Linked DNA regions of Schizosaccharomyces pombe. The gene in region 2 interacts genetically with the main gene of each other region. Each region holds a gene or a part of one and is shown on either strand. Other genes may lie near its edges. The genes, in order: grc3, csx1 and cip2.

What was found.
Region 1: of csx1 (region 2) and grc3, extra expression of one rescues a mutant of the other (dosage rescue), as found in Schizosaccharomyces pombe (one study listed by BioGRID).
Region 3: of csx1 (region 2) and cip2, a mutation in one rescues a mutant of the other (synthetic rescue), as found in Schizosaccharomyces pombe (one study listed by BioGRID).

Annotation. Positions count from the first base shown.
Region 1 is NC_003421.2:2,180,612-2,189,504, forward strand, and holds grc3 (polynucleotide kinase Grc3), read left to right. Parts: upstream 1-2,988; 5' UTR 2,989-3,195; coding exon 3,196-3,229; exon of another isoform or gene 3,230-3,306; coding exon 3,307-5,483; 3' UTR 5,484-6,111; coding exon of another isoform or gene 6,112-6,543; 3' UTR 6,544-6,778; downstream 6,779-8,893. Other genes in the region: protein mug128, read right to left, coding at 6,112-6,543; NuA4 histone acetyltransferase core complex-Piccolo HAT module linker protein Epl1, read right to left, coding at 7,924-8,893. UniProt on the Schizosaccharomyces pombe protein: Polynucleotide 5'-kinase required for both rRNA processing and heterochromatic gene silencing.
Region 2 is NC_003424.3:3,567,711-3,575,174, forward strand, and holds csx1 (RNA-binding protein Csx1), read right to left. Parts: upstream 4,636-7,464; coding exon 2,737-4,635; 3' UTR 2,297-2,736; downstream 1-2,296. Other genes in the region: SPOM_SPAC17A2.07C (uncharacterized protein), read right to left, coding at 31-148; spliceosome complex disassembly protein Ntr2, read right to left, coding at 557-1,382, 1,431-1,516, 1,582-1,658, 1,733-1,829; SPOM_SPAC17A2.10C (uncharacterized protein), read right to left, coding at 7,285-7,464. UniProt on the Schizosaccharomyces pombe protein: Regulates global gene expression after oxidative stress. Interacts and stabilizes atf1 and pcr1 mRNAs after oxidative stress, thus controlling their turnover.
Region 3 is NC_003424.3:339,723-347,865, forward strand, and holds cip2 (RNA-binding protein Cip2), read right to left. Parts: upstream 5,450-8,143; 5' UTR 5,408-5,449; coding exon 3,677-5,407; 3' UTR 2,368-3,676; downstream 1-2,367. Other genes in the region: protein Mcp60, read right to left, coding at 385-2,133; efg1 (rRNA-processing protein), read right to left, coding at 6,117-6,329, 6,392-6,522, 6,585-6,717, 6,822-6,896; GATOR2-SEACAT complex ubiquitin-protein ligase E3 subunit Sea4, read left to right, coding at 7,473-8,143. UniProt on the Schizosaccharomyces pombe protein: Regulates global gene expression after oxidative stress. Interacts and stabilizes mRNAs and may regulate their transition between different cytoplasmic components after oxidative stress.

The DNA.
Region 1 (8,893 bases), on a different chromosome or scaffold from region 2:
CAACTATTTAGAAATATTATAAATAGCGTTACAACTGAACTGAGGAACGAGGTTCAGTTATGAGCTATATTAGTGATAGGTAACATTATAACCTAGTTAATACAATACCTATACTCTGTTGCTACTTATACAACCTGTGTATTGTAATATAATAGACCACAAGGAAAACTCACCGCAGTTCTACGTATCCTTAAATCAGATACCAAACTGCGTAGCTTACAGAAATCTAGTAGCTCCGTAGGATGAATTAAGTAACTTTCTGAGTGTCAAACACTGCAGTAAACATCTATACTGATTTATGGCGGACTTCTTAATGATACATAAGGAAAGCTAACTTGAGTGAATAAAAAGGGCAGTGACAAAATAAATGTGTCAGAGGCAATTACATTAAAATGGGTTTTGGAATTCTACTTTTCACTTGCTATTATTAAAAAAGCGGTTTTCTTTGAAACGAGTATTGCTCATTTATTTACGTTGAACGGCGGGAACTGAACTCCAGAGTGAATATTCTTGATTTTGCTGTTTCGTTTGTCGCAATCACAGCAATTAATTCGCGCATGTATTTTATTAAATAAGGAATGATATTATTATTATGAAGAATAATTACGCTTCCTTGGAAAGTTCTATAGATGAAGAAGATGAATTGAAGACAGGACATGAAATTGATTTGGAAAAAGGCCTACTTCCAGAATATAATTCGGATGAAGAGAGCACACTACCTCCATATTCAGGTAAGAATTGTAGATAATAAGAAAGGAATTACTCAATTGAAAGTTGAAACTTGCCATCGTGTCAAATTGCATGCTTTGGTCATTGTTTACAATCGGCCATGCAATGCACACATTTTAAAACATGTTCTTTCTTTACTAAAGTATTTCAATCATATTAAGTTAAACAGATCACGCACGTGTAAGCAATCCTCCTAACACACATAGAGAAAACCATTCTTCCGGGACGGCAGATAATTCTTCTACCTCTCCGTTGAAAAAAGAATTTTTATCATTCATTTCAATCTTTGTGCTAAACGTACCCGCAATTTGTTATCTAACGTATAAGGACGCTCTCTTTAAAGATTATGGCAAAGATGAATGGGTATATTTTGGAGTGTGGTGTGCTATTTGCCTGATGATTTTTATTTCTTTATGGTGTAAGTGACACGATAGGTCAATTCTTACGTTCATTCACTAACTCATTAGGCTTCTTTGAAACTTGGACCAGGCAGTGGCACAATGTGTCAAGGTAACTGCGGTCGGCTTGTACAACTCAAGGGAAAAATGGGTTGTAATAATCTGGTTATTATGGGTAGTCATTTGTTTTGTACTCTTTGGTTGCGTCAAATTCGGTAATGTGAACTTAGACAAGACTCTCATCTGTTCTACATGCAGTATTTCAGCTGCTTTACTTTTATTTTTATTATATGGTATGTGAAGTTATGTAGTTACCATTACTGACCGCTAACACGCAGTTCGTCTTCCATTCTGGACACTTAAGCATATGTTTTCTGGGTTTTTTCAAGTTCTAGGTGTACAAAGTTGTGTCGTTATTGTAACGAAAGGTTTGATGCATTTATTTGACAAACATATCGACGGGACAGGCTACGAAATTGTAGCCTCTTCACTCTTTGTTATAGGCAATTTTCTTTTCTTTTACGAAATGGGTTTGTTTAATATTCCTGTAATTTATTCTAATCGTATCAGAATGTCCAGGTGCTCTCAAAAGGATGCCCAAATTTATCAGGAATGGTATAGCTTTTATATTAGGTATGTGTATTCAACCAACTGTATGAATGATTCTTTACTTACCCGATTAGAAGGTGCAGGGAGAGCGATTAGAGGTGCCAACGATAATAATGACATTCCCTTGGGGGAAATGGAAGTTGAAAGCGAAGTCTAATTGCGTTATTAATGTAGTTGTCGCTCCAGTTGGAAAACCTCTTTACCAAAATTACCAACGCAGAGAAGCTGCGGCTTTTTTAAAAATAAGCACCAATTTTCTTTAATCATCCTCTTTCACTATAAGGTTATGGAATATATGCTTAACTTATTCTTTCAATTACCAAAAATTGCCAACCAATGTATTCTACGATGTTGGATAAAGTGCATTGAGGACCGAGTCTTTATTTATTATGTATGCGAGTCTAATTATTTGTCTTTTTTAATGGAACTCAAGTCACAAACAATAATGATTTAAATTGTTTACGACAACTTAAAATCAACTAATGAAATCGAAAAACTCGTTGTTCCGCCTTGTTAAATTCACAATTTCATTGTCGTTATTACGTTCATTTCTCCTTCATCTTGATTCTTAATGAATCAAGCTTAATTATCATTTTTTCTTTTTGTTTAATGGTTCAATTCAAACAAAATTAATGTTTACAAAATAATGAATAGCATAATAAAATATTGTGATTCAGAACGATGGTTTGTTATAGTAATAACCTAAAGACACATTGCAATAGTGAATATCTAATAACGCAGTAAACGTATATACTGGTTTTATGTTGAGTTTCCTAATGATGCATAAGCTGAGTGGGCGATATGACTTTGATTGACACATATTTTGTGGAAATTTTCAATATATAAATCAAAGAGACTAATGATTTATATTCTAATACTTTTATCCACATCGAAAGCAACAGTTCATAACCTAACTGTTGGGTCAACTGATAGAATAAAAAAAACTCGGGTGTTCGTCCCAATTATAATTATCACTACAGTTATAGTCTAAATATCTATTAACTTCAATAACTGATTTTTAACGAGTATTATATTCTTTCCTTTTTTTCAAGGTATAACGATTAATTCTTCATTGTTTCAATATTAATAAGAAGCTACTAGTTAAAGCAAGCTGGTATTATCGTTATGTTACTACCAAAAAAGGAATACCGTGCTGTTACATTTTGTTATAAAAATATACCGTTAATCACTATTTCCCAAATTACAGATATCGTACTTTACTTGGTATTTCCTCTATTTACTCTTTCTCGCTGTGCAATAAGAAGAAAAAATTTTATTATCTGTTTACAAAACATAGCTAAATTTTCTAAATTAACTTTTGTTATTGATTGTTAGTTTATGGTGGATTGTTGTTAATTGAATTAAGATCCAAAGCGCTTGCTTGTTCACATTCGTGTGAATTGCACTTTTAAAAAAAAAAAGGAAAACTTAGTTATTTATTTAATAAGCTTCTACCATAATGGTCAAGCGTCAACGTATTGAGAGCTCAAATGGTAAGTGTCTTAGTTAGTCTTAAGTATTGGCTCTCTTATATCTTTTCTAGGATAATATTCTAACAGTTCTATGACAGTTCCACTCAGTGCATTCGCTGTGCGTCAATTGACTTTAAGTAAAGCAGCCAGAAAGAAAGACAATTCATCGGGGAAAAAGCGCAGCGTTTCGGAAGAAGAAAGCCAAGACAAATATGAAGACGAAATGAAAACTGAAGGCGAATTTCCTTCTTACAAGCACACGCTCGTACAAGTGGTTGTCCCAGGAGTTGATCATAGAACAAAGCTCCATTCAGAGTCATCCAAGAATGATTCTGAAATAACTCCTGATATAAATAGGTCCAAGGTTAATCCTCAGGAATACTCTGAATTCTCAGTTGCTAGTCCTCAAACGATTTCTCCGAGTTTACCTTTAAACTTGGACGACGAAACCGTAAGTGAAAACGTTCCACATAGCCCACAATCGTCTAACGATGCCATTCCGGTGATTAAAATTACGGAAGAAAATTCATTCAGGGTTAAAGATACGCTATACGTTGGATTACATAAAGATCAAAAATTAGCAATGGTTGGTACCTTCATTTTTCGTAGCGTTAGAGGGAAGTTTCAGCTCTTTGGTGCAACCTATTCTTCAGCTTGTATGTCTTGGTTTCCTTTAAATGCTCCGTTAGCATTTGCGACACCAGTATTTTCTGCTATAGACAATGCATTACCTGCTATGCAGATTTCCGAATATGAAGAAGATTCCCTTAACCTTCGTTCCTTTGCAGTTCCCTCTTACTCACCAAAAGAGCATGAATATGAATTAGAGCCCAAAGATATTCTCCCAAATTTTGAAACTGTAATAGCTTTTAGAGAAAATGAAAATGGTCTCTCTAAGATAGCTCGTGTCCTTCCATTTGCAAAGCGTTTGTTTTCTTTTAAGAATCTTTTGCAAGATGCCTCATCAATATCAAATAATTTTGAGATAACTCCGGAGTCTTGGTGTTCTTTTTCTAACCAGTTACTGTTTTCCACTTCCAAGTCAGACTATGTTGTTCCTCGTCTTATGGTTTGTGGACCTAAAGGATCCGGTAAAAGCAGTTTTTCACGATACATCACCAATAGGCTTTTACAGCAGTATCGTCACATTGCATATCTTGACCTCGACCCTGGTCAACCCGAAGTCGTACCTTCTGGGCACATTTCATTATATTATATTAACTCACCATTGCAAGGACCTGTTTTCGCCCGAATGCTCTTTCCTACTTACATGTTACGTTTGCATCTCGGAGATATAAGTCCCCAGAAAGATCCGGATCATTACATTGCTTGTGTTACTCGTCTTTTTGCTGAATATAAAGATTATATTTTTAATCAAGAGATATCCCAAAAGGAGATTATTCCTTTGATAATAAATTGTCCAGGTTGGATCAGAGGGGGTGGTGCTGAGCTTCTTTCTTCTATTGTTGATATATGTCAACCAACAGAAGTTGTATACATGAGTCGTGAAGACATGAAATCAAGTCATCGTGAAAAAAAGAGTATTTACCAGCACAAAGAATATATGCCTGATTTTCTTTCAAGCAGAGATGAGTTTCAACTTACCCTCTTGGAATCAACTTGGCAGTATCTGCCTGATCCCAACGTTAACAAGGTTACCTCTGCTGATAATCGTATGTTAGGCTTACTTTCCTATCTGTATTTCAATTGCAATTTACAGAGGTGGGACTTTACGACAAGTTTGACAGCTTGTCAACCTATAGCCACAGCTTTTAAGGGATCTTCTAAGGGAATAGATGCTGTTAATATTATAGGTGAACCTCTTAATGTTAATGATGTCGCGAAAACTATTAATGGTACTTTAATGGCACTTTATGCCTGCGACACTGCCTCTTTAGATAACAGTAACACACAACGGATTGTTAGTAGTCCTGAAGGGATACCATTAATCATCAATGATGGACTTCCTTTGGATCCCAATACGTCTCATTGCCTAGGTTTAATCGTGCTACGCACTATTGATCTCAAACGTAACGAATTTCATTTTGTTGGTCCTCTTAATCTTGAGCTTATTAAAGATGCCTATGCAAAGAGCTTGAAAATTGTCCTTGAAAGAGGAAGGTTAGAGCTTCCAGTGTACGCAATGTTGGATCACCGTTTAGCACAATACTCGGAATTGCCATACCTCGATCGAAATCACGATCGGGTGGCTGTTGGCGCTCATCGTAGGCGCGTTCGCCGTAACATTATCCGTCGTAGTACTTTCGTTGGATGATACCCAAATCTTATGTTTTACGAATTTCTGAAGACGGCTACGCTTTTTGCATACCTGCTAGAAATTATTTTGGGCAGCTGAATACAAACTATATGAAATATACTTTTTCTTATTTTTTTTTGGCGGTTAAAAAGGACAATAGTGAAATTTATTTATATTTATTGTTTCTTAAGAAAAAATCGTGATTTGAATTTGTTTTAGATTACTCCAATGCAAGTACAATTTACGTTCTTCGGCGAACTGGTCTGGGAACATTGAGTACTATGCTTATTGCGAGACTGCATATCGATGGTTAAGCTCCGATGGTCTTTTGTTGGCAGCAAAAGTTATGCATTAGGATACTTTCATACTTACTGCCATATCACTGGTATGTTGAGTTTTTCTACACTGTATATGCAAATTTATAAGGCATTTGAATTTTCACTATGTTTAAGAATCTACTTTGGTAATTTAGCATATTCTGACTAACGGTTTGAAGCTTGGTTTCGATATTCCGGATTACCGATTGACTATTTTAATTAACTTTTAGAGATGGTTTTGCTGTTGAGTTTTTTTGATTTTATTCAGAGTACATTTTCAATGGTTGTGTATCTGTATGTAATCATTCAACTTTTCAATTTTCCTTTCTCTAAAGGTGAGGAAAATTGGCTATTTTTTTCCACGTTTTGAAAGTGCCATAACATTTGAAGTATAGTATTTGCTTTTTCGTATAAATCCCTTCGAAGGATTCAGCTATGCAAGTGCACTGTTCTAGCAATTGGGGAATGTGATTGTGTGGTTTTCTTTTTTTGATACTGAAATTCTCTCGTATTACTTGATTTCCCAAAAACCAATAGACTATACGAACGACTTGTTGAAAGCAGCGACACGTATGTTTGTATATTAAATACCATTGATAATGAGTCAAGCTGTTTGAAGATGTTGTCAGTAACTTTTCTTTAATGTACACATAATCATATAACAGTTGCTTTGCTTCATCTTGAATTTTTGAGCTCTTGTAAGTTGAAGAACGCTCAAGGTTTGATGATTCCTTTACATAATGCAAATTGGCATATTCCATGTTTATGATGCTTTGCAGACAGTCGACCATTCTACAATAAATTCGATACGTCGCCGAACGTACGCATCGTTTGAGAGATTTGTAGCGCCTGTTTTTGGGCCTGAATAGTCTTTTCGCTATAAAATTGTGCATTTAAAATGGAATCGAGCGGCTGTTAAGAGTGTTGTTTTAAAATTTAAAATATAAAAGAATGTTTAATTGGTAATATTACCAAAGCAATATATCAATTAGTACCTTGACTGATTTATTATTGCAGATGTTTTATATCTTCGTTTGGTAGTGTTGAAGTTTACGTGACTAAAGAAGTTGTTGGTAAATAGTTAAGTGTAAACAATGAAGTGAATAGTATGCATGTGAGTATTACTAGTTTTTTATTTTCATAAAAGCTAAACAGTAAATCTATTAATCATTCATATACTTAATGACTTTAATTGAATCCCCAAAGTCGTTATGATGAACCTAAAATTTGTCAGTTCAGTTAAAAAAGTTGTTTCAAGTTTTTTATAATTGAAAGTAACAACAATAAAAAGATAAAGGTTATTGATATTCAATTAAGTCGATAATTTCTAAATCTCCTACTGCAATCATAATTGCTAGAAGTACGCCTTATTAACACATACTATGGAAACTAAGAGTGAGCATTATAAATTCGATATGACTCTTCTTCATATTTGCTATTGTATCTTGTAGCAATGAGAGAGACATATAGTTAGTGGATGATTTTCTAAAAAATAAGCTCAGAGAACTAAAGTAAATGGTTATAGAACAAAAAGGAAAGAAACCAATAAATATATAATCAACAACCCAACGCAATGACTTAGTCTGAAATTTTTCCAAAACTACTTAAAAAGCTAAAAATGTATTCAATTTGAATACGAATTCGATAAGTCGTTAAGACATAAACTTCGTACATCGTATATTTATTATATGCTAAATTAAAAAAGCTGAACAATGAATTGAATGTCATTAAAAAAGTCATTAACCACATGCAAGTCTAAAAAAGCGGGATCACCAAAAATTTTGTAACAATTCACCGATTCAACTAGTACAGTATCAAATAAATTAGCGACGATAAAGAATCTATGCATGCATAAAACCAGGGTTGGACTGTAGAAGCAAAATCAAATCTTGTGAGCCAAAAAAAAAGCTGACTATGCTTTCAAGTCAATTCCCCCTATTAAATTTTTTATTTGGACAAACAAAAATCATAAAAATGAATAAACACTATTTTTCTAAAGAGAAAAATAGATTATACCCCAAATCCCTTCAAGAAATCAATCAAAATCTTAAATAAGCTAGTCGAGGAGAAATAGTTAAAATAAAATTTGATCGAAATCTTTAGTAATGGAAATATTATAAATACCATAGATAAAAAGCGTTTTATGACTGAGTACCCATATCATCGTTTAGCAAGCTAGCTCGAAACATTATAGAAGCATCAGATTCATCATCGAGTATAATTGTGTCATCGGCATCAAAGGGAATGTCAAAAAGCCATCGATCTTCAACACGAGATTTTGGTTTACTCAACCGATGTACTGGCAATGCACGAGTGCGATCCAACATCAAACGCCCTCCACGTCCTATTCGTTGTCGAACGCAGATGGGATTTCTGGGATGTAATAAAGTGCTATAGCCGTATAAAGAGTTATTTGAAGAGAATGAAAGTGAATCGCACGTATTAAAATTAGATAGGGAAGAGTGAGGTGTAGAGTAGGTGGGTCCATTATCAGATAATGGAGTCGAAGGGGTTGAGGAAGGAATACTCAGTTGATTATGGGATTGTTTCGTTTCTTTTCCTGAATAATATGGAATAATGTTTCGGTAAAACGAATCGGGATAATTAGTATGAATAACGGTACTAGGCGTCTCCAAAAGGTCAACCCAATTACGATCGAGCTGTTCCTTCTTGGTAAGACGTTGCTGAAGACGAATCTGAAATTGTGTAATTTGGGCTGATTGAACATCATCAAGCATTAATAACGGTCGAACTTCGACATTTCGCGTAGGTTGTGGGCGATAGGAAGCAGGGTGAGGAGAAGTTTTTACAGGTGGAGCTGGAGTAGGTACAGGGGCGGCGGGCTTTACCTCAATAGGACGTCGTTTAGGATTGATTAAAAGTTCATCACTGTCTTTTATATTTAGAGTACGTTTAAGCTTTTTGACAAGACAGCGCTTCTGGAAAATAGCATAGTCGTCTTCAAGCGCTTGCAGCTTCTTTTGCTCACGTTTGTACACTTGTTCCAGTAACTGAAGACTTGTCTCCATGCTTTGTCGTAACCTCCGTAAGCGATCATAAGACTGAGCGTCCGACCGACGAGTTTTGCGAGCCTGTCGAATTTCACGACGA
Region 2 (7,464 bases):
ATTCAAAAGGTTAATCGATAGTATACATACCATCATATTCTGAAGTATCCTCTATTGTAAGCTTCTTCAATGGCCTTTCGATAATTTCGAGGATTCTTTTCGTCGAATAATCATCTTTTGACGCATAATAGCTTCTTTTCAGAGCCATTGAGACGATAAAATGACAAGTCTTATTGTAAACCCACTTTTTGGCAGTAGGTAAAATGTATTCTCTTCAACACACAAAATCCATTGTAAGTGACAATGCTACTTACTAAAGTTTTGAATACTCAGAGGCTATAACTTTAATATGTGATAAAGCTAATGAAATCTTCTAGCAATTAATATCTATTATCTCCATAAATATCGGGTCATTATTTTTTTGTAATTCCCGGTGACTTCTTGGCACTGTTTTTCTATTTCAACAAGTCACCGATGGGCTGTAACAGCTAATTAATACTGTACAAGGATAAGAGTTCTGTAAGAAATGTAAATCTAAGTTATAGCGTTAAGTAAATTTATCGACCATGTCTTTCTTCTTTGTTTTTTTTTTATCAATTAAAAAATCCAAAGTAAATCAGGATTTGCTTTTGGTAAGGTTGTTCAACAAAGTTTTATCTAAATCAATGAAAGAATGTTTAATCTTTTCCTCTTGTTCATTAATCTCGAGTTCTTCTTCCATAAGTGATTTAATAATCTGTGAACGCTCCTCCTGCTGAAGCTTCTCAGAAGCTATTGCTTCTTTTAGCCGCTGAATTTGTTCATCCATTGTAAGAATATTAGGAAGCTTCACAGAAAGTCCATTTGTAAAAGCAGGAGATTCTCCAAAGGCACCTTTCTTGATTTGAGTATGTTCCCATGATTGGATGGGCTCTGCTATGTCTTCATCGTCCAATTCCATCTCCATATTTTTCTGGTCGACGGCCATTTGAATTGATCGTGTCCGTAAACTTTCCGAGCTATGGTGGTATATTTCTTGAAGTTTTTCTGACTCCTCCACGTAATTTTCAAATCCAGAGTAACCTTCATCTTGAATTTCGTCTTCCGTTTGAAGCAATTTCTCTTCTTTATGATTTTGTGCCAACATCAGTTGGTCCCCTGTTTCAAGTGAAATGTAATTATCCGTCATCATGGCAATGTTTCTCTTTCTTCCTTCTCGATCCTTTAACTCCTTAATCATTGCTTCCTCAGGAATGCCTTGATTAAGCATATTCCATTCCAAACTAGTATTAACGGGTAAAGGAGGTGACGATCTTGTTTGCAATTCGCTTTCTTTGGTCGAGGAATCCTCCTCCTTCTTTGTAAATTCTGATGGTGTCTGCCTACTTTTTCTCTTTAACTCATCCACATAAGCATTGGAGTATCCACTTTCATGCGAGAGAGCATCCATTCTTCGCGATATTCTTTATTAATTAGATAACTAATACTTGGACTTAAAACATTTTACTTACAAATCATCAACCGAATGAAAAGAGCTTTGCTTTTTTACCTTTGGAATCAAAGGGATTTGAGAATCCTCCCCATCGTCGTCTCCTTCCTAATCAATGTTTGTTAATATAACAGATGAATTGGTAAAACGTTTTCCAGCAAAAAACAACTTACCTCGTTCTCATATTTCACCCTAAATTTTCCCGAATTTTTTTCTTTCGCTTTTGTTTTTCTTCTATTTGCATTTTTGTCTAAGCATTGTTAGTACACTTGCGATAATAAGTTCTATTCGAGCCCAAGCACTTTTGCGCTTTTAAGTTCTTACTTGATTGAGAAACGTTTAAATTTTCTTCATGCTTTTCTTCCTCATTGTCGCTCGTTTGCACGATTTTAGGCTTCGCCTTTTTTAAGTATCGTCGCATGTTGGTAAATGGGTGCTACTTTCTAGGCAAACATATTTCTACCAATCTTTCATATTGAATAGCTATTTTTGTAAAAAAAAAATCATATAAAGTCTTAATTAAAATGATGTTTTTATGTTCTGTGAAAATTAGAAAGGGATAAACATAAATGTCTTTACTTGGGCATTTAATATTATGGCACATACTGAAGAGGTGCATCGGATAATGCAAAGCATCAGAAAAGTATTTGTTCAATTGACTTACATTTTTTTCGACTAATTTTAGAGAAATGTGTTTGAAATTCAAGTTTCAGATTTAAAACTTTTAATTGAAAAGCTACAATCGACAAGCTACCAATATCTACTACAGTCACTGGAAAATTTCCATTATATAAGTTGAAAACAAAAACAATGCTTTTAATTATTTAGAAAATCAGAAGAAAAAATAACAAAATTATTTTTTGGAAAGGACATTTTAAAATAAAACATATAAATAACTCATCGATCCAAAAAAAAGATTTGGACGTTTGAAAAACCTCAATGGAAGTTTTCATGTACATATGTGCATTAAGGAACAACAGCAATGAAAGAAAAATAAAACAATCATAAATAAAACAATCCTTGGCACAAATAATATTCAACAGTTATAAAAAACATCACAAGAGAGATTTAACATACAAGAATAAAAACAAAACAAAATAAAAAAAATCACGAGAGCACCCTTCAGTTCTTTAAGACATTAAACTAACTTGATCAGGAGCCCTCGAAAACTTATACGGATGCCTTTGAAAAACGAAAATAAATAAAAAATTAAAACAAAAACATTAGAAATAAAACAAGAATATTCGGGAAATCCCTTCACTTAAGAAGAGAAGTGGAAGAAACAAATAGTAGTAGTAGTAATGCATTTCAAACATCATAAAAATAATTTATGAATCGCGTGACAAGCGTAGAGAAGGTTGCAAGTATTGACCAGTACAATTAAATGTAGAATAAGAACGAGGAGGCAAGCGACCTCTCAAGTTCAAACCAAAGCCGGATTTCTCCAAACCGTTTTCATTTTGCTCCAACTCATGACGGAGATCAATTAGTGAAGACTGACGCTCCCTTCCTAGGTTCCAAGGCCTAGAAGCTCTCGCTTGAAATGCTGAACCATTCAAAGAAGCAGGTTGCTCATCATCAACCAACTTTAAGGAGGAAACACGTGTTAATAAATCTTGAGTAGCAAAGGAGTTATGATTGTTGCCGGAAAAAGGCTGCAACCATTCGGGGAGCTTCACACTAGGCTGGACCTTTGCAGAACCATTAATTTTTGAGGATTGCAAAACAGAAGACTGAGGATACACCTGTCCGCCTACCAAGCCAGTGGCAGCTGAAGGGAAATGGGAAGAAAGAGGTGTCAAACCTGAGCCACTACCGGACAACGTAGGAGAAATGGAGGCTGAACGAGACAAAGGAGGTGGAGAAATGGTTGAAAAATTTACGGAGTTCATGCCATTGATTGAGGAAACAACGGAGTTTGGCAACAAAGATTGCGCAGCAGCAGTACGAGGTGAAACAGGTGCACTCTTCAAGCTAGAGCCGGATGAGTTTGAGCTGCCAGAGTTTGCTCCAATGACAGATTGATTCATACCGAAAATTTGGTTAGCGGAAAGAGTTCTGTCGAAGCCCTCATCTGAAACTTGGGATTGAGATTGAGACAAGGCAGATACAGGAAGCGTATTATGACCCCACGCGAGGCGGATATGAGAAGTACCAACTAAGGCACCCTGCATAGTGTTTATGGCCTTTTCAGCAGCAGATTTTTCACTGTACTGGACAAAGCCACATCCCTTGCCAAAGGGAATCTTGATGTTCAAAATTCTTCCAAAGGGCTGAAAGCAAACTTGCAAATCTTTCTCGGATAAATTGCTAGCCAAGCCACCGACAAACACCGTAGTGTTCAAAGGATCCATGCTACAAAGATCTTGATTAGGCTGGCGGTTAGAAGTAGAAGTAGGAACGATACCAAGGGCAGAATCGGCGGCGATGGAGGCTCTAGACTTTGGTGAAGCGACAGAGATGCGTAAGGGGCGACCTTGACACAAATAGCCCTGCATATGCATCAAGGCATGTTGTTGTTCTTTCTCACTTGAAAAGCGAACAAAGCCATATTTCCTGCTGAGACCGGTAACGGGATCGACAATGATCTTGGCTGAGGTACATGAGGGATATATGGAACGGAAAGTCATAAAAAGATCCGAATCCTCGGTAGTGGGAAGAAGGTCGCCAACGAAGATACTAAACTCAGGATCACGGGAAACAAAGTTGTTATGTTGAATGCCGCCACCAGTAGCCCAGTTAAGCTTGAAGGTACAGTGAGCACCAGGAATCATGGTGTTATTATACTTCATCAAAGCACGCTCAGCAGCTGCAGAAGAGGAAAACTGAACGAAGCAATAGCTGATAAGCGTTTCCGAAGAGGATGCTTTGGAGCGCATGACTTTAACGTTGACAGGTTCGTTGAGGGAAGCCCAGAGCTGTTGAATAAAAGTAGCGTCCATCCAAGGTTCCAGGTCACCCATCCATAAGGTGTCGCTCATTTTCGAGCCAACACCTGCTACATCTTGAAGTGGAGTGGAGCTAGGAGAACAGTTGAAAGGAGCCACAAGTCTCTCCAAAGTAGGAGAAACTAACTCTGATTTGCCCTCATCAACCACAGGGGAAATGGGGGCATTGACATCTGAATTAGAAGCTGACATTTTCGAGGTTGCTGGAATAGACGAATGCAAAGGGACGAAGGAAGTATCAAACAATGAAGAACGGCGATAAAGGCAGTCAATAGACATTTAAATAGATATCCAAAAAAAAGTAAAAGAAAGTAAGTAATATGAATGAACAACAAAGTTTCAATGAGACACAAAAGTCAAAAAACGTAACCAGTATAAGACAATGGGTGGTAGAATCTTTCAACGATGAACAAAATAAAGCTTAGCTTATAACGTACAGACAAATAAATCAAGGACGAAAAAGCGAGAGGTCTAAGAACTCTTGAGATGAAGAAATGCTAATAGAACAATCAAGAACAATTTAATAAAAAAAAAAAGAGAAATTTTTTTTGCTTGCGTAAAGTGTAACGGTAAGAGCAAAAAAAAAAAGATTCAGGAATAAAAGAAGTACTAAAACAAAGTGTTACAAAGATCGAGTATTAAAGAGGATTGGAAGAATAAAAATCAAAATCGATCTGAAATAAAAGGAAATTAATAAATGAGATGGTTTCGCGGTAAAAAGCTTGTTGAAGTGAAAATATAAAAAAAAAACACAGAAACAAAGTTATTCGATTGTTGATGAGACAAAAAGCGAAAATACAATCCTTAATGAGGCGTGAAAGAAAAATTCGTTAAAATCACTGAATGGGTACACGAAAAAGAAAACCTGATGGTTGTGATGAAGCAGGGTTCTTCAGTTTTTATTTTAAAAATAATAAAACAAGTAATACAATGTACGAAAGAAAAAGGAAACAACGATGAACAAGGTCTCTTCTGAAAATTATTAGGTATGAAGAATAAAAAAAAGAAAAAGAAACCAAAGGTTGGAAGAGAGAAAATAAAGAAAAGGAAAAAAGAAAATCGAGTCGAGTTAATCAATCACAGAAAGAGAAGAAGAAAAGAAAATAAAATAAAATAAAAATATATATATATGTGCAATAAAAAACGAAGGAACCTGACAGGGGGGACAGAAGTGTTTTCTTTGATGAAGTTAAAGAACAACAGCAACAATGACAAATATATATATATATATTATATTATATTATATATTATATAAATATAATATATATACAATGCAGGAAAAAGAGGTGTCCGTATATTATAGGTTTATATATATATACTGTGCAGTATATGTATGTTATAATATATAAAGAACAAACGAATCCTTTTGATATCGAGTAGTCCTTTTTTTCGCTAGTGATATAGCTAAATAGGAGGATACGGTATGCGAGGAAGTAAAAGGGAAAATTTTCCTTCTCGAGAAAGGTAGAGTTTGAAAGAGACGAGAAGAAGAATGGAAAAAAGATACCAAAAGCAGTCAGTAATATATAACCAAGTAAGGAATCTGCAAAAAGGTACGGAAAATTTAGAGGGAACGATAGAGTAGGGAAGAGGAGAAATCGTTCAATAGGGGAAAAAGAAGAAAAATGAAAAAAAAAGTGGTGATAGGATAGAACGCTGGAATGCTAGAGGAATTCGGTAAAATACAAATAAATAAGTCACGCAGCGAAAAAGAGAAAAAAAAAGTACAACCGGTTCCGAATGCAAAGCGAAGCAAAGCAAAGTAAAGGAAAGAAAGGATGAACCGTTGGGAGACGAGTGAAAAGTAAAAGTGAATGGGAGAGAGTAGGAGCGTGTCCAGACTAGGCAAGCACTTTAAATAGCGAGACCTTAAAAACGTATACACACAACAAGGGGGGTACGGTGTGTAATAAACACAAATGAAGTATGGGCTATGCAATCAGCTAGGCAACACAAGACAAGCAAGGCGAGGGAAAGTGGCGAAATCCCAAGAGAGCAATAAGGATGCGTAGCGAGGAAAAAAAGCGAGACAGCGATGCGCACCGGTACCGAAAACCAAAGTCCGAAAAATGGATGTAAGATTTACGAGGTTAAGAATCGAAAGAGGACAAGGGAGAGAGACAGAGAGAGCACAAGGCAGTAGAGAGAGTATGTGCGTGAGAGAGAGAAAATCAGGTAAGGATTGATGTGGGAGGATGGTGAGCGAAAAAAAAAAGCAAACCACCGAGAAATGGGTCTAGAAAAGAAACCGTTGCAAAGGAAAGAAAAGGAAATCGAATGAAATCGATTGAATGAATAGGAAACTTGGCTGGACTTTTTAAATAGTTAGCCGAGTGTTGCTAAAAGCGGTGAATGATGTGAAAGTGAGAAAGCGAATAAAAGAATAAAAAAGAAAAGGATGAAGAAAAGTGCAAGACTTTTCTTGGGGGGTTTGTTGATAAGGCAGTGTGTGATGGAATGGAAAGAGAGGGAGAAAAGTGCTTTGTTTGAAAGATAAGTAAACGAAGCAACAAACAAAACAAACTAAACTAACCGAACCGAGCAAAAGAAAAAAAAAATTACACAACAACCACAAAAAGTAAAGACACTAGGAGAGAGTAGCAAAAGCTTACAAAAACAAGTGGTTGAAAAAAGGAAGAAGACAAGAGTAAATTAGAATATACTGGATAGGCAAAAAAAAAAGAAAAACTCCCTAAAAAAAACACACAAGGGGTATTAAACGAAGTTTGTATGTATGTAGTGAAACAAAAAAAAAAAAGGAAGAAAACCGAGAAAAGCGGCGTTAACGGTGTTACGGAATTAACGGGGCGTTTGACGGTAATGAAAGTAAGTAGTAATAGTAGTACCAGTAATAGTAATAGTACTAGTAGTAGTAAAAAGGTAAGTGAATAAGAACCGGTTTAAAAAAAAATAGGAAAACAATACGATTCAACAAACACACGGCAAAGAAGCAATTTTACGGAATGAGGTGAATGCGAAAGGAATTAAAACGCGTCTTTTTTTTTGTAAACACAAGCAAAACAAACGGGGAAGACGAGAAAGAGTAGAAAAGACGCGTAAAAGCAAAGGTAAAAAAAGGATGGCAAGTGAGAGTAAGTGAGATAGAGA
Region 3 (8,143 bases), 3.2 Mb from region 2:
CGTAAACACAATTCAGAACTTACAAAAACACAAAAGTGAAAACTTGGTATTTAAGTCGAAAGTCATACCATTCGTAAAAAGAGTGAAATTATAATGTGTAATAAACACAAGGTAAAACATTATGTTCATTAAACAAAATCAGGAGTTTGATTGTACAATTAGCAACCATATGAGAATAGCCGAATGAAAAGTTTCAAAACAATAAGTATCCATTAACAGAAGTATGACCCATTAACTAGTTTTGAAACTAAAGAATTTTACGAAGGTCAACAACATAATGCAAAATTAAAGCCAATTTCTCTGAATGGATTTAAATCATCATAATCATAAGCTTTTAATAAATTGTAAAAATTTAAAAAACCACGTCGGCATTTTTTTGATACCTTACATCATACCGGGCATTCCACCCATGCCACCCATTCCGGGAGGACCAGCAGGGGCCTTGGACTCTTCAGGAGCATCGACGATGGCACATTCGGTGGTACCCATTAATGAGGCGACTCCACTAGCATCAACTAAACCGGTACGTACGACCTTTAGGGGATCCAAAACACCAATTTCATTTAAATCAACAAAACGATCCTTAGCAATATCATAACCGATGTTAAATTCCTTGCCATAAAGCTCCTTAAGTTTACCAACAATCAAGTTACCCTCTAATCCAGCATTTTCAAGAATGGTTTGAGCGGGACGAGTGATAGCTTTGCGAACAATTTCGACGCCAAGCTTTTGATCAAAGTTATTTGTAGGAATGTCTCCTAAGCGAAGACTAGCCTTAACAAAAGAGGTACCAGCACCTGGGAGAACACCCTCGGAAACAGCAGCCTTAACAGCATTCAATGCATCAACAATACGGTCTTTCTTCTCGTTGACTTCAACTTCACTGGAGCCTCCAACCTTAATAACAGCAATACCACCGCTCAATTTGGCCAATCTCTCTTGAAGCTTTTCTTTTTCGTATTCAGTGAGATTAGGGTCGGCCATGACACCACGAATCTGTTCACAACGGTCGTTAACTTTAACATGGTCACCAGCACCTTTCATAATGATAGTGTCTTCCTTGGTGACAGTTACAGAGCCACAGCTACCCAAATGATGGGGTTGAGCCTTTTCGATGGAAACATCAATTTCATCATTGAACACGGCACTATCAGTCAAGACGGCTAAATCTCCAAGCATATTACGACGGTTGTCACCAAAGCCAGGGGCTTTAATAGCAACAACTTGTAATTGCCCACGAAGCTTGTTTAAGATACAAGCAGCCAAAGCTTCACCATCAACGTCCTCTGCGATGATAACTAAGGGACGACGCTGCTGAGCGGCAAGCTCCAAAGAGGGAAGAATGTCTTGGACAGCAGACACTTTCTTTTCAGAAAGAAGAATAAGAGGATTTTCAAATTCAACCTTTTGTGATTTGACATCGGTAATAAAGTAAGGAGAAATGTAACCACGATCAAACTTCATACCCTCAGTAACCTCTAATTCGTCGCTTATTGTGCGCCCTTCTTTGACGGTGATAACGCCTTCTTTACCAACACGTTCCATGGCTTTAGCAAGAAGCTCACCGATATGAGTGTCACCGTTAGCAGAGATGGTAGCGACTTGGGAAATCTCTTCAGAAGTAGTAATATCACGCTTATTGGCTTGCAAAAATTCGACGACGTTATCAACAGCAAGTTGAATTCCCCGGCGAAGGTCCATAGGGTTGCAACCGGCAGCCACGTTACGAACAGTCTCAGAAAAGATGGCACGAGTTAAAACAGTAGCAGTAGTGGTACCATCACCAGCAACTTCATTAGTCTTGCTTGCAACATCCTGAACTAGTCTTGCACCAAGGTTTTCGAATTTATCTTTCAAACTTACACTACGGGCGACAGTTACACCGTCCTTAGTGATTTTAGGGGAACCAAAAGGTTGGTCAATCAAGACATTACGGCCCTTTGGTCCCAAAGTTACAGATACGGCACGAGCAAGAGTATCGACACCGGTGAGTAAAGATGCGCGAGCATCAACACCAAATTTTAAGTCTTTAGCATATGTACGAACTTGAGGGACGGCAAATCTGCCGGGGATTCGACGACCAGCAATTCTTAAAGGTAGACGAGATACACTGGAAGAAAGGAAGCTCACCATTATGTTTAATTAATGAAATAAAATGAAGTTGTAAAAAATGGTTTTTTTTAATGCACCCAAAAAGAGATATAAAGAAATGTAAAGTTATCTAACGCAAATACAACCCACACGTTAGGAATATAACCAGCTAGCTGTCCCTGCAAAAATAAATGCTTGCAGCTTTTAGATATATTATTGGTTTTAAAATACGTGAAATACTCTTCACTATTTTCCGCTTAATGAAATTCCAAACAAGGCTAGGCAGACGATAAGTTAGCTATAATAGACATTATATATACTGTGACTGCCTGATATTCTAGAAAGAACTTTGATGGGATAAAGATTGACATGCCGGCAAATAGCCAATAGAAAAGCGACCAAATTTTAAGAATAGGTTTGGTAGCTTCTTGAAGAAAAATATCGAAAAATAGTGTATTGCATTGTTTATCGCTAAACGGCTTCTAAAAAATTAAAACATATAGAGCAAGAACGGGGAGCGTTTTCATTTAGTCGATTTACAGTCATTAAAACCTCTAAAAAAAATGCGGTGCTCGACTATGGTCAATGTGCCGTTTCTTCGTGATTATTCAAATAAGAAAGATCAACTCAATTTATCAAATTAAAAAGTCGTAAATGTTCTATACTTATTTAAAAAGTAATACTAAACGATACAGCAGATACGAGATACGTTTAGACAAAATCATCAAGTATCCACTAAAAACAGTGCGAAAAAAAATAATAATAACAAAAAAAAAATAGTGCAATCATATCTTGACGAAAAAAATCATACAAATGACAACCGAACTCTCATAATCGAAATTGAATTCTTTAACACATTATCAAATCAATAACACGGAAAAGAATTTAGGCACAATTAGCCAAACAGCCATTAAAATGAAGCCATCATTCGTAATAGTTAAAAACCGAGTGACACTAACGTGAACAAGCTGGGTCCGTACAAAACATATGAGATATAGAAATTGAAAAGGTATTGATAGTAACGAAAGGTCCTACACATAAGAACAAAACACAATCAAAACAACAAATTATTGCAAATAACACCATTAACATCCCACGTAAGATCGGTTATCGTAAATTTTATTTGAGACTTTTGCTGTATAGCTCAAGCATCGTATCCCAGTATACGAATCGTCAAACCGGATTTGCGATACAAAAGTTTAAAAAAATCTCACAAAAGAAAATTCCATTTTATTCCTCTCAAAATAATCATAAACGTGACTTTGAAGAGAGAAAAATATCATCTATTAAATTAAATCCTTTTCGTTTTACAAGAATCACATTATAGTTTAAAAGCATGAGCCCGATCACATGCACATCCGAAGTGAGTATGTAAACGATATAAGCATGAAAATCATGTCCTCAATTGAACACTAGGTCGTAAAAATGGATAATTCATTGAGATAATTTCACTCGTCGTTTTTATGTACAAAGTATAAATTTGCTTGAAAGCGCTTATTATCGTAAGGTAAATGAAACTTAATAAAACCCGAGACATAGCCAAAACAAGATTAATCAAAAGCAGGGAAAAACAAAAAATCCAAGACTAATTCTTTGTAAAAGTTCTGGATCCAATAGCACCGGTGTTTGATGGAGTAAGGCTTGCAAAATAATCGTTCATCGCACTACCGTTTAAAGTATTTGATGAATTAGTCGCATTGCGATCCAGTGGAGAGGAAACATTTAAATTAGCAAAAGGAGTAGCAAGTTCTAACGGAGTAGCTGGCATACTACGTATGTCGGAAAAGGCTTTAGAATCATTTAGTCCTCTGAGAGAACGTATGCTATCCGCAAGATGCATAGAGGGAGCGGGTCGTCTAAGACTTGAAAAATTACTAGAAAGACCACCGGACGAGAAAAGACCATTGTCAAATAAACCAGAGGAGCTCAAGTGATTTGCAAGACTTGGTTGGCTCAAATTGGAAGCACCTAAAGAAGAAGGATTTAAAGTACTGGCGTTTGGGGCCATCAAAGGAGAGTGGTTAGCACTCGAATTATTAGCGGGAGTAAAATGAGTACTAGGCATGGTAATAACCACTTGCTTAGCTTCACCGTCACCAGTAACTGAATGATTGAGATTGAGACGGGAAGCTAATAAGGCAGCAACCCGACGTTCTTCCTGGGTGGTTGAAGAATCAAATACAAGATCATTAGTGTTATCGCTGCGATAATAAAATAACAAGATATGAGAATATACATTGAGTATAGCTGGATCATTCAAATCAAAATCAATGCCAGCACCTATATTGGCAACAGAAAACGGAGATTTCAATTGATTTTTTCGTTCTTCTACAGCGCGTTTCTCTTGTTTACCACGCTCAACACGTTCACGCTCCGCAGGCGGTAGTTGACGCTTCCATTCAACACGAAGACGACGACCAGTAATTTCATAGCCATTCAAAACTTGCACAACCGTTTTGGCTTCCTCTGGAGAATGGAAATTAGCAAAGGCAAGGCCCCTAAAAACTCCGTTATCAAAATGATAATTAAAAGCGTATGGACGTGGGATGTCTAATGCAGTGAACACTTTAAACAACACTTCTTTCTTCAAGGAGAATGGAATATTTTTAATAACAATCGCGGTAGGAATGGTCTCTTCATCAGGTTCAGGGGGTGCCGTCAAAGTTACAGAGTTGCTCATACCTCTAGACAGAGCAGTGCTAGAAGCTGAGTTTGGTACATGTGAATGGGATGGTTCGTTGAATGCATTTAAACTATCAAAAGGGTATGTTGTTGAGGAAAGTAATGAGGTAGTAGCAGGTCCAGAATTTTTGAGTACATCTAAAGCACTTGCAGACCGGAGAGAAAGGCCTGCTGAATTAGTTGCTTCTTTCCAAGCAGTTTGAAGACGAGTTCGACGAGGCTTTGCAGATGGATTATTGGCAGTTGAAATTTCAGGATCCAGCATTTGTTTAAGGGAACTTGGTAAAACCGTAGAAGAACCATCACCCAAACCATCATCTGCATTGTTGTGGGAAAATATGCCAGACCCTCCCATTCCAGCACTGTTAACGGCTGCATCAGAAAACGTAAACTTATCACGACCATATCGGTTCTCGAGATATCCTGATCCTCCAGGAATATTAAGACCTCTCATTTCTTCATCTTGAGCTCCATTTAATTCATCTAATTTGGGGAAAAAGTTGGACCGTTTTCTACGCAGAGATGCAGCCTCAGAATGGAAAGTTAAAGGGGAAGAAGCAGGAGAAAGAGTATTAGTTGACAAAAATGCCTGCGACAAAGGCGTTAATGGCCTTTGGCTTGTGCCCTCAGCCATATCGACACTAAACAAGTCGTAACTTCGTGTGGTGCGGAGGTTAGGTATCCGTGGACACCACCAAGGGCGCAAAGTCAATATACTACACCATATTATTGAGGTCTTAAACCCATAAATTCAAATATACCAATCTATAGAAGCAAATGTAAAAATAATTATTATAAAATGTATATACTACATACTGGTGTTGATTTTTAAACCCCCACTAGGTAACTTTTTGCCAGGCAAATAACAGGGTACTGTGATGATAAAACCGAAAGTCCATCTAAGAGCTCTTAAAAACACTGCTGCAATGATAAAGACTATTAAACTGTCTAATAATTCGACCACCTAAAACAGAACAAAATGAAAGTCCTAATTTTTTGTTTTTACTTAAATTCTTGTAAATTTATATTTTTATTAATTTGATATTCCATGAAATATCATTCGAATTTTAGCATATTAGATTATAGAATGAAATATGTGAAAAATATCTTCAGTGAACCTTAGGATCCAAAAGCTTCTCTCCCACAAGTTCTATTTTTGGTACCCTAGCAAATCCCATTGCAATATGACATAGAAAAAATTTAAATAAACTTGCATAAAAAGAATACCTTGCTCGATAACTCATATGGAAACTTCACAACCTTTATTAAAAAGAATGAATCATATTATTACAGTTTCGTCTATTTAATCCCTTTATTTCCAAAACCTCAATCCAAGTTTTCATTTATCTTTGCAAAAATTCATCTTCCAAATCACCACCAGTTGAACTTTTTTCCTGTACAGGAACCCTGTTGGAACCTGAAGATGGTATTTTGTGTTTTCTGCCACTATTAAAGCGTTCTTCCATCTCGGCCCAAATGCGATTTCGAGTTTCTTCGGTCTGTTCAGATGTGCCTTCTGCGTAGAGTGAAACATACTTTGTTAAAGGGGGGTATTCCTAAATAGGTTAGTATCTTAGCCAAGTTGATAGTTGAAATGAAGTCGAAAATACAAACATACTTTAATATACATAAGATCAATTTGACATTTACGCATCGATTTCTCACACTGCTTGCGTTTCTCATCATCCATAGTTTCATCCTTCAAAGATTTTTCCAATTGTTTAATACGTCGTTCTGCTTTTTTACGTTCTGAGAAAATCAGTAAGCAAGTTCACTGAACAAAAAATGCTGTTTTTATATATGTTTCATACCAAAAAATCGAACTTTTTTGTATCTTTCAAAAATCTTTTGCTTTTTATGCTCTAACTGTGCCATAGACAACTGCTCTTGTAGACCCAAAAGAGCTCGTTCATGTTCAACACGAATGTTTGCAGGCAAATTCTCCTTAAAGGAAGTTAGTTTTCTTATTCATTAACATAAAAAGGAAGGTAATATTTATTACACACTGAAACCGCAGATGTTTTTAAACCAGCAAAAAAATTACACACCTTTTTCAATAATCTCTCATTGTCGCGAATTTTTTTCTTCAGCACAGAAAGTCCAGGGCCCTTAAATTTTGGCATGCTAAAACGCTCAATAAAATAGATAAATAGAAATTCAAACCATAAACAATTAGTTCTGGTGAAGAACAGTAGTAAACTTAAAGGACTGCAATTTTTACAGCTGCTAGGTTCTCAAGTGACACGTTACTTTTATATATAAGTTTAAGCTGGTAATTATGATTAAAATATTTGATTCACTCACACTTATTCAAGGTAGATTTATATGTTGTACTTGTGGAGTGATTTAAAAGCTTAGACTTTCAACAGTACATCAAAGAATCGCTTGTTCGACACCGAAGTCACCCTAGAGATTAAAAAGTATGCAAAAGATAGTTAATCTAGCAACCGGTCTGTATTTTAATACTACTATTGTTAAGAGAATCATCAATAGCAAAAAGAAAACCTTTGAATTTGACAGCCTCTTTTCAGTCCGTTGTTAAGGCATTTCTGTTAGCTATCGTTAAGCAAATTAGTGCTAAACGTTATGTTTGACGAGTGGTTGAGATTGAAGAACGCTTCGATCAAGCTCTGTTTAATGTTTATGCAGTATTTTGGGCGTTTCTGGTAAAGCCTAATTGTCAAATTTCTCTTTAGAGAATGTTAAATAGAAGTAAAAAGAGGAATGGCTGTTATTTTTGGGTTAACGGCTCCTCAGATGAGATTCGATATGTCGCCGTCAAAGCTTCCCCTAAAGTAAATTGGAAAACTCACATTATTTGGAGATCATTGAAAAATGTTAAATGTATAGACTCTTTTCACGGAAACAATGAAATATTGGGTGCTGGTTCTTCTACCGGAAATATATCATTGCTTTCTGTTAAGCATCCAGAATTTCAAGCAGTAGTAACACCTGGATATGCTCGCCCTTGCAATAGTTTGGCATTTTCTGAAACTGAACATCTTGTTGCTGGATTTGCAAAATCTCGAAACGAGTCTTCCTTGAAGTTATGGGACTTGAATTCATTACTGTCTGACCCGAAGAGTAGTCCCTTAATGCAGTCTTCTACTCTAGACGGAGTTTCTTCCGTTTGTTATAAGAAAGACACTCCTCTTTTGCTTACCGGATCAACTTCGCGTTCTGTCCATATAATTGATACTAGGCAGCAACTAGACTCAGTTTCTTCCGTCAATACGCAATATTATAGTAATATAGTTGTTGATCCATTTTCTCCTAACTATTTTGCCGCAAATTCTTATGATGGTGACATTGCGATTTTTGATACTCGATACTTCAAATCCGATAATTATTTACAAATTATTTTACGGAA